Cricetulus griseus: one gene and its partner. The main gene of each other region encodes a partner of the protein of the gene in region 2 in a complex. Links are inferred from orthologs where the notes say so. Each region holds a gene or a part of one and is shown on either strand. Other genes may lie near its edges.

Evidence for each region. The genes of interacting proteins can lie anywhere in the genome.
Region 1: Taf1a (region 2) and Taf1d share a complex: the UniProt entries of both Homo sapiens proteins name them as parts of the transcription factor SL1/TIF-IB complex. The link is inferred for Cricetulus griseus from reciprocal best matches to the Homo sapiens genes TAF1A and TAF1D.

Annotation. Positions count from the first base shown.
Region 1 is NC_048597.1:128,814,074-128,819,247, reverse strand, and holds the start of Taf1d (TATA box-binding protein-associated factor RNA polymerase I subunit D), read right to left. Parts: upstream 3,218-5,174; 5' UTR 2,928-3,217; intron 1,764-2,927; 5' UTR 1,754-1,763; coding exon 1,683-1,753; intron 1,282-1,682; coding exon 906-1,281; intron 1-905. UniProt on the Homo sapiens protein: Component of the transcription factor SL1/TIF-IB complex, which is involved in the assembly of the PIC (preinitiation complex) during RNA polymerase I-dependent transcription.
Region 2 is NC_048598.1:11,100,417-11,105,719, forward strand, and holds the start of Taf1a (TATA box-binding protein-associated factor RNA polymerase I subunit A), read right to left. Parts: upstream 3,426-5,303; 5' UTR 3,121-3,425; exon of another isoform or gene 2,767-3,120; intron 1,893-2,766; exon of another isoform or gene 1,883-1,892; 5' UTR 1,881-1,882; coding exon 1,757-1,880; intron 1-1,756. UniProt on the Homo sapiens protein: Component of the transcription factor SL1/TIF-IB complex, which is involved in the assembly of the PIC (pre-initiation complex) during RNA polymerase I-dependent transcription.

The DNA of each region.
Region 1 (5,174 bases), on a different chromosome or scaffold from region 2:
CGTGCCAGGTTACCTCAGAGACCAGAAGAGACAGCAACATTGGGGTTACAGATGGCTTTGAGTGACCATGTAGGATGCTGGGCATTGAACCTGGGTACTCTGGAAGAACAGCTAAGTGTTGAGCTGTGTATCTATCGCTCCAGTCCTTGTCCTTAGTCAGGTTAAATTCATTTGGATTACCAGAAGGTATCAACTAACAGGACTGATAACTATTGTGTATCCTAGATTGTGGGTCAAGAGCAACTGGGTTAACAATGCACATGACCAGCTAACAAGCAGCACCCTTTATGTTGCTTTCTCCAGCCTGTTCTGGGTACTTCTAAAAATGGCCTTAGAAATATCTGCGGCAGGCGTTGGTGGAGCACGCCTTTAGTCCCAGCACTTGGGAGGCAGAGGCAGGCAGATTTCTGCGAGTTCGAGGCCACCCTGGTCTCCAAAGGAGTGCCAGGATAGGCTCCAAAGCTACACAGAAAACCCTGTATCGAAACACCCCCCCAAAAAAGTAAATGACATAAAAAATAAAAAGAACGAAATAACATCTGCTTACTTTGAAATGACTGGTTTGATGGGCTACTTAATTTAAAGTTGGGTAAGATATGCTTGAGAGTAGTTTAGAGACTAAGATGAGGGTATTTTGTACATTTACAGACTTGGACCATTATTCTCTAAGTTTGTATACACACTAAAAACAGTGCACTCAGAAACACTGGAACCTGAGCAGACTTTACACAGAACACATTGTTTATTGTCAAAGTAACAAAATGTGTCCCAGGTGGACCTCAAATTAAAAATGGCCAACAACACCCAAACCCAGAGAAACTATGTCTGGAAAAACCAGGAAGAAAAGATGGGGGCAACAATCATTCCAATTTCCTAGTGTATTCACTTACATGAGAATGACTCACCTCATATGTTAAAATTTTCTTCCAAGGTAAGGGTTTTCTTCCATTTTCAGATTCTAAGAATGGAAACACAGCTCCTTTGTTTTTAATTTGCTTCACACCTATCTGTGACCTTCTAGGGTTTCTAGCATTTTTTATTCCAGGTGGTCTTCCTCTTGGTCTTAATTTTGGCTTGTATTTCCTTTTTTTCCGTTTCTTTTTCTTAAATCTTTCAAAAATAGCCTTTAAAGTCAAAAGCCTTGGTTCTATAGAGGAGTCACTTGATGTGTCAGTGTCAACATTTGCAGGTAAAGTGACACGTTTTGTCGTAGGGTTTCTTTGCTTTCGTGTAGGTGAAAGAACGTACTGTGTTTTAAATAAGCTATCAGATGAGTCATCGCTAAAAAAATAAAATAAAATAAACTGCATCACTGAGTCGTTACTAGAAACAATCCAATTCACGAGTGGCAAGGCTGTACCCTCAGGCAGCATGGTCATTAGTAACTCAAGTTTCATGGAGTTCAACACCCTCTTCTGAACACATGATACTGACTGTAGGCAAAGCACTCACTCATAAGTCACATAAGAGAAGACATTAAAAATTTAAGTGTACATTTCTTCCAAAGCCAGCTCCCCCAAAATCATACCCAACATTTTCAAATGGGTGTGGTGATAAGCCTTTAATTCCAGCTCTTGGGAGAAATAGGCAGGATCATCTTTGAATGAGGCCACCTACTGAGACCTGTCAATCTGAACAGTTAGACTCAACTCTAGGGTGTTTAGTCACAAAAGCTGCCTTACCTTTGATGTCCAATGTCTGCAGCTCTATCAGGTGTCATGCAGTCAACAGAAGTCACTTCTGATTGAGCCATTACTCGATCTCTGCAATTACAATTTCAGTGTGATGCACCTAGCATTCTAATGAAAAGTTCAACATACACCATACCACCATGTGACTTTAGGTAAAATCGACCTAAGGATAGTCCACTTTAGATCTTTAAAAACATCCAAGTGAGCCAGCTGTTGGTGGTGCACGCCTTTAATCCCAGCCATTTGGGAGGCAGAGGCAGGCAGACCTGTGAGTTCCAGGTTAGTTTCAGGACAGGCTCTAATTCAATATAGAAAAACCTTGTCTTAAAAAAAAAAATATCCACGTGAGGAGCACAGCAGTTAAAGTGTAACCTTCCACAGTTCAGTTCCCAGCACTCACATTGGGTAGCTCACAACTTCAACATGGCATGTTTCTGGCTTCCTGGATACCCACACATTCAATTCTAATCTACAAGTGAAAGCAAAGGAGAGACCACTTTCCAAATCAGTGTTTTCTAATTCTACTTAACAAAAGTACCTGAGTGGCTTTACTACCAGCCAGCCACACAGTGAAACAGCATTAATTCGGATGTTTACCCTAGGAAGGCTGAATTTTTAGCCACTCAGTGTGTATGCCTCAATTTCCCGAATGGCCAATGGGCCTGTAATCCCAACAATAGAACCTCTAGGGTGAGTCAGCTGAAGAGATGGCTTAGCTTTAAGAATACTGACTGCTCTTGAGTGGACAGATTAAATTCCCAGCACCCACAAGGCAGCTTTAAAGGGGCCGCAACTGGCCAGGTGGTGGTGCGCGCCTTTAACCCCAGGAGGTAGAGGCAGGCGGGGCCTCGAACTCAAGATCCGCCTTCCTCCTGAGTGCTGTAATTAAAGAAATGCACCACCACCTCCCGGGTTATTAACTTTTTTCCTTTAAAAGGGGACTTATTTTACGGATAGTGCATTGGTTTCACCCATACCAGAAATAGGAACCAGAGCCCATTACAAATGGTTGTGAACTACCACGTGGCTGCTAGGAATTGAACCCACGTCCCCTGATAGAGCAGCTGGTGCTCTTAGCTGTAGAGCCATTTCTCCATTCCCCATTGTTTTTTAGTATTAGCCCATCAAAATTGCAACGTAACATACTTGGCCCGTTTGCACCAACGATAGAGCGGAGAAAATTCTAAGGGTAATGGCCAAGTACACACGAGGAACCTATCTAGAAATCAGTCCTACCTGTGCGGTCTTCTCGACCTAGGAAGGCAGCACCAGCACAATGCCCCGACGGGACACTCTAAAACCTTCCGGCAGCGACCGATAGCGACCGGGAGCCACGCGTGGCCCGCTGCGCCTCACCCGACAACAGCGCCGACTGCGCGCGGACAGCCGCCCAAAGAGCCCGGGCCCGCGCGCGGTCTCCGAGTCCCGCACCGACCGATCGCGCCAGACCCGAGCGCCCAACGCAAACACACCCGTCTCCCTCCTCCACCGCGACCAAAAGAACGTTCCAGCTCGCAGCAGCCGACTAGGGCAGGCCGAGATCTCGCGTGAGCTCTTAGCGGCGGGTGGGTACGAGAGCGCGGCTACGTGCTAGGCGTGGCTATGTGCGTGGACTGTGGAGTGGGCGGGGCCTCCGCGAGAGGCGGTACCGGGCTCGCCCCTAGGCTTTGAGCTGGCGGAAGGGAGCAGGACGTTGAACTTGGGTAGGTGAAGGGAAGAAGGCATTCCTGCAGGCGTGAAGACACTGCGGGTCAGGTGAGCGTCCGCATGTTGTGGGGCCGAGCCCACTGTGTGCGGAGTTCCCCCTCAGAGGAAGGGTGCCAGGTGCTTTGGGCACCCCACCCTTCAGGAGTTAGCTTCCAGCAGGCATGGGCTTCCTCCTTCAGATCCTGAGTTGACTCAACAGTGTAGGGCTAAACAGTTTTTAGCCCTACAGTACTTTCTTTTCAGTAGTGAGCTGCTTTGAGTTATTTTCCATGCTGCACCTTTGTATTGTATGACAAGCAAGCCAGCAGATCTGCTTGCCCTTAGTCAACAGTTGTTATCATTTATGATTGGACACGCCTTAAAAGTAAGGTCTTGCTGTACTTGCAAGCAGCCAGTGCATTCGCTGTAAGCTCTAAGACAGGCATCTCAGACTGTCACATTCAGGACCAGTGCAAACTTAAATTGCAGGGTCCTGTTCAAAACGAAAGTGACAAATAGCTGAGAACTGTGGCAAATCGCAGAACTGGAGAGTCTGAAGGAGGATTGCCAGGCCAGCCTAGACTATGTTTTCCCCATAAGTAAGGAAAATTTAGAATTATTAATACAAGTTTTACCATCTTTATGTTGTGTACTGCCAGGCGGTGGTGACTCATGCCCTTAATCCCAGCACTGGGTGTAAGGATCAGGCATTATGCTGGCCTGCCTCTTCCTAATAAAACTTCATTTAAGCTGTCTGCCTGGAATGTTTGTCCCTTGGCCTCGGTCAACCTCGCCCGCCATGAAACCTGCCAAGGTTCACCTCACTCTTTATCCTAACACTCTGGAGGCAGAGGCAGGCGAATCTCTGTGAGTTGGAGGCCAGCACAAGCTACACAGAGAAACCCTGTCTCAAAAAACCAAAAATAAAAAAATAAAAAAACCTTAATGAGCTTCTAGGCCTTTAATCCCAGCACTTGGGAGGCAGAGGCAGGCAGATATCAATGAGTCAAGGCCAATCTGGTCTACAGAGTGAGTTCCAGGAAACTGTCTTGAAAAAAGAAAAGAACTTAATGAGCAGAATTGTTGTGGGGCGTTCACCAGAGAAGAGTGTTCAGACATAGGTTAAAAGCCAATAGAAAAACTTTATTAGCCAGCCAGCAACCAACTGAGTGTTCGGGATCCCAGTGTAGCCCTAAGCCTTTCTCAGGGTGAGCTTATAAGCACAAAAATCCTGTCATGATTTGACCCACTCCAGTTAACATAACATCTAACCAAGCAGAACTATAAAAGCTAAAAAGCAAGGTTAGTACATTTAGAAACTGCCTCAGAGCTATGGATTTGGATTAGGCTTTTGTTTTAGTTTTGGCAGGTGGAGTTTTACAGCCTTAATGGCACTTCCATCGTGGAGTCAGTCAGTTGTACTAAGGTCTTAGGGCCTACTAAGATCATAAGGCCCAGTTGCAGAATCACTGCAGTTTGGATTTCTGCTTACTAACTTGTATAAGTTATGTATTTGTTACTGTATCTGAAACAATGTACCAAATTAACTTACTTGCTTTCCTTTTACTTCCTGATCTTTGCACATTTTGCCTGTAATCTGGAATTCTGCAGTACTGACTATCTGTGGACTCCCAAATATGGCAAGTCTACCAGGATTAAGTTCTAATGGGACATTAAAAACACTTTAGGCCTGGTGGTGGTGCACACCTTCATTCCCAGCACTCAAGAGGCAGGGGCAGGCCAACCTCTGAGTTCCAGGCTAACCAGAGTTACACAGAAAAACACTATCTCAAAAGA
Region 2 (5,303 bases):
ACAAAACAATCTATATGACACCTTAAGACTGTCAAGTCAGGTTTATAAGTACTGCAAGACAGTACACAGAACATATTTCATAGGGGACATCTAAGTTAGAAACATGATAAAGACTACAGTCCCTCAGCAGGGCATGGTGGTGCATGACTATCACTCCAGCAATCAGATGAAAAAGGCAGGAGGATTGCTGCAAGTTTGAGGCCAACCTGCTCTGTGTAGCAAATTCCAGGCTAGTCAAGGCTGATCAACAAGACCCTGTCCTGAGGAGGCCTGGAGGGGGAAGACTATAGCATAGACCTAATTAATGCACACTACAAACACCAGGATCTGCAGCCTTCAATACTCAAAGAGGTTGTGAAACCAGCAGTACTGGAATTATCTGAAAGCTAATTAGAAACAGAGAAAAGAAAGAGAGAAAGAAGGAGAGGAGAGAAAGATGGGAAGGAAAGGGATGGAGCCTCTCATGCCTCAGCTGGCTCTCTGAAGCAATCACTGCATTTAGTAAGAGCTACTAAGCTGCTTAGATCACAATTCCAGGCAACCAGCCCACAAAACTGGCACAGTATCTGTTCAAATAGCCTTTATCCACCTAAGAGAAGACTGCTCTCAGGCCAAGTTCCATCTACCTCTTTATGTTTAGAAGTACAGGACTTGAGATCAGACAGACCTGATTTGCTTCCTTATATCATTACTTAAGAGTTTAATTTCGCCACAGAGAAACCTGGGGGAGGGGGGGCGAGTTTAATTTCTTTGCAATTCAGTGTCCTCACATTTACTGAGGACTAAATTACTGGGAATATAAAACTAAATGAATTTTTCTTTTTAAATGGGAGCTAAATTCTTGGAGCCAAGAAATGCATGGAGAGTAATAAGAAAAGTGCAGGTTTAAGTGTATTTAAAGGTCTGACCCATGCAGCATTCCACCACGGCTTCTTCATATAGTCCTATAGACGTTAACCCACTAAAAGCATTGTCTGCATCTACATTAGATTAAAAATGAAGAAAGATGCCTTTTAAACCTATTACATCAATGCTATAAGGAACCATTTCCATTAAACTCAACAGAAATTTCCTTAACATTTCCTATGTATGTGCTCCTCAATGAGACCACATTTTCTTCATCTGTACGTCCCCAATATTCTGCCAATGCCAAATACAAGTGCTCAGTAAAGAGAACTATATTCATATATATAAATTTATACATGTGTAGTTCATAATATAGACTGTGTATTATTTTTTAAAAAGGGCCAGGCCATGGTGGTGCACGCCTTTAATCCCAGCACTCAGGAGGCAGAGGCAGGCAGATCTCTGTGAGTTCGAGACCAGCCTGGTCTACAAGAGCTAGTTCCAGGACAGCCTCCAAAGCCACAGAGAAACCCTGTGTTAAAAAACCAAAAGAATAAAATAAAATTTAAAAAAAAAAGCTACTTCTTCTAATTTCCTTTTTGTCTCCAGCTGTAAGAAAGAAAAGGGAAACCCCCATCTAATCTTATTACAATATTAGGCACCCTGATTCACACCTGTAACCCTAGCACCTGGAGACTAAGGCAAGAACAACCAGGAGTTCTAAACCAGCCTGAGCTACATGAAGTGAGTTCCAGGCAAGCCAGGGATAAACAGCAAGACCCTGTCTAACAACAATAACAACAACAGAAATTAAGGGGGAGGAAAAATGACCTGGCTTGGTCATTCACTTTGTAGCTGTGTTCAGTCTCGACACTTAGTTGCATTAAAGTGAAAGTGCTGTCCCACTTACCTACAGTCTCTATTCGCTCCTGAAGCCACGGGAAATGCATTCCTGGATTAGAGAACACAGAGGTTTCTCTCTTGCCATCCTCTGCCAAAGCAAGCTTTGTCAATTCTTCATCGAAATCGCTCATATCTATTCCAAACTGAGAGTATCAGTTAGCGTCAGTACACGTTAACCCACAGGCACCTGACTTGAGCTGAAAAGCAATCTTTTCTTGTAGCAAAGTCACCTGAGCAGCAGGGCCCATTGTATCTGACAGTTCTTTTCAAGGAAACACTGAATCTGTTTAAGTCAACAACAGCCTAAACTCAAGTCACATTTTTTAAAAATAGAAGTCTGGGGACTAGAGACGGCTCAGCAGTGAAGAGCACTTGCTGCTTTTCTAGAGGACCTGTGCTGGTTCCCAGCACCCATGTTCATGATCTTCTGGAACCCTAGTCCCAGGGCATACAACCACCTTCACAACAGAACATAGGCACACACATGCAGGCACACACCCACACATGTAAAATAAAAAGTTTCTAAAATCCATAAAACATAATACTGCAAAGCTCTGAACCAAGAACATACAAAAATGAGACATCCTTAATTACAAAGTAAAAAAGCTAAAGCTACATAAAGAAACTGAAGAATACATAACACAATATAGCAAGTACAGTAACAGCAGGAGCTAGTATTTACTGGGACTTAACTACATACTTAGACTATAAAATATCTAATTTAATCGCAGCAGCAACCCTATTCTCTCCCACTTAGTAATGAAAACTGTAGGACTTGCTGGGTGGTGGTGGCAGAGGAAGGAAGGAAGGAAGGAAGGAAGGAAGGAAGGAAGGAAGGAAGGAAGGAAGGCTGAAGGACTTATACAAAATACGTAACATGACCAAAAGGAGTGAAGACAGGAGTCTAGCAAATGCAGAGCACACAGACTAGCTGGTGTGACCAAAAAAATGGCTAGGAGGTGGGCAGGGGGCCATGGCAAATAAATGACTCTACAAAAGCAGCCATATGCCACTGACCTTGGATTGAACTGTCGAAAGGGTGCAGACCCCAGTTCTGAGTACCTATCCGGTATTGAAGCTTCGGGTACTGCGATTTAGAATTCCACCAAACGCCCCTCCTTTCTGCAATCCTACGGCGCCACCCTGGCTCCGGACACCTTCAGACTGGTCCAGGGTGAGTGCTCTGGCGCTGCTGGTGTGTGTGTGTGTGTGTGTGTGTGTGTTTTCCGCGACGCTGGAGACGGGCCCGGGTCTCGAGCCTGCTGACTGGCAGCAGCGTCTCCCTGCGGCGCGGGAGGCTGAGGGTGCGTGGTTAGTCACCGCGCCGCGGGGAGGGCGCAGGGCCAGCCCCGGGGTGCTGCTCCACCTCACCTGGGGGCGGCCGGCCCCGCGAGCGCGCACTAAGCCTTGTAGGAAAGCCGACTCCACCGTGGGGCGCCAAAGCCTGAAGCGACGCCTCAATTCAGTGAGGTCGGCCCCACGGACGCTGCGGACGCCTGACGCGAGCCCCGAGTCCTCAGACTGGCGGCGGCGGCGCCGCCACGGTAACCTAAACCTCCCGGCCCGCAACTGACGCTCCCAGAACCGCGGGGCGCTCACACAGCTCTCCCCGGCGCCACGCTCGCCCGATCGCACGCCGCGGGCTGTCAGGGAAAACCCTCTCCGGAAGTCCTCAGCGAGCGCTTCCTGTGAGCCTGCGCATAACCAGCCGGCCGGCGTTCGGGTAGCGCGCTGCGTAGCCCCGCCCTCCGTCGGGCGTGGCCTGGGGGGAGAGCCCAAGAGCCTCGCCAGAAGAGGCTTGACCCGGAAGTGGGTGTTAGCTTCCGCCTTCGCCTTGGTTTGGCCCTGATTACACCTTGATCTGTGCCAGCCAGAAACTGGAAGGTTCCCATCGCAAGACCGGAGTGTGGCCAGGGGGTGCATTGCCGATTCTGATTGCTGCTCTGAAAGTTATTTTCATTACAGTTTTTAGCATCTTGCTGCCTTCACAGTTGGAGCAAGAGTCCGTGTTTCGCTTATCAACGTGGAGTGTTCTGGCGATCGGCCTGGAGTCCGCTCTCAAGAGGGACATTGGCAGCCGTGTATTGATTATGGAGGTGGATAGTGGAATTGCAGTGTCGTATGAGAAGGGGGACGCTGCGAGGGAAGATGACCCTGAAGACTGGCCTGAGATGTTTGGAAAAATACTCTGTGAAGGACTGATCGGTTAATGGGCAGATTATTACACAGATGTGAACAAGCATTAATGAGTAAAAGCTAAAGGGAGGCAACCTTAAAGTCATTGGGAAAAAAACAATAGTTCATAGTTAAGGCTGCATAAATGATGCAATGGATTCCTCCTAAACTCCGAATTTACTGCTTGAAAATAAGAGTCTGAGTTCCATGGAAATTAGCCGGTCTATCATTACTCCTTGCCCTTAAGCCTGTTTTGGTTTGGTTTTGTTAGAACCCCGGAAAACCTCAGGCCTCCAGGGTCTCAGCCCAGGACTGTGGTCACCCTAATCACCAGGCAGATTCGAAAGCTTGCTGCAAACTGCACAAGGCTTTATTGTTTAACGAGCTCGGATAGCAAAGACAGCTCGAAGAGTCTGCATAGAGATCTTATAGGGCAGCAATAAGGGGAGTGTCTAGGGGTACACACAGGCTCAGGATTGGTGTGCCTCCAGGCTTGGAGGGCTTGCCCTGTGTTGATTGGCCAACTGGTTGTTATGGCCCATAGGCCCTCCCAGGGTGGTTGCCATGCTCTTCAAGCCATTGCTGTGCACTTGTCCATAAAGCACACCCAGAGCCGTAAAGCATAGCGCCACCAGCTAACTTCTGATTGGTTCCTTGCCACAGGCAGGCATCTGACTTTCTAGTGACTAGGACAAGGTCATGGCAAGCACGTGTTACTGTCATGTCTGCCGAAATGGGGAGCTGGTCCCTTCAGTTTGTTTGGGTATTTTTTTGGTGGGGGGGAGGTCAAGACAGGGTTTCTCTGTGTAGCTTTGGAGCCTGTCCTGGAACTAGATCTTGTAGACCAGGCTAGTCTTGGATTCACAGAGACCCACCTTCCTCTGCCTCCAGAATCCTGGGACTAAAGATGTGCTCCACCACCGCCTGCCTTAACCCTGCTATTTTTGTTGTTGCTGTTTTTGTTTTGCTTTATTTTGGATTTTCTGAGACGAAGTCTCTATATAGCCCGAGCTATTCTGGAACACACTATGTAGTTAAGGCTGACCTAGAACTCAATGATCAATAGATCTCATAGAGTTCTGCCTTTGTCTCCCAAGTGCTGGGGTTAAGGGTATATGCCACCCATGCCTTGCCTTTAAACCTGTACTTTAACTACAGGCAAAGCTAAATTAAATAATGATGTCACACACTAAGTGATTAGTTTGCCATCGGGAAGCTTGTTCATCAAAATGAATCAACTGATTTTGTTTGTTCATGCTCATAAAAATAGGCAAAAAAGTCATCCATGGTCGAACACACCTTTAATCCTAGCACTTAGGAAGCAGGGACAGGTGGATCTCTTAGTTTGAAGCAAGCCTGGTCTACAGAGTGAGTTCCAG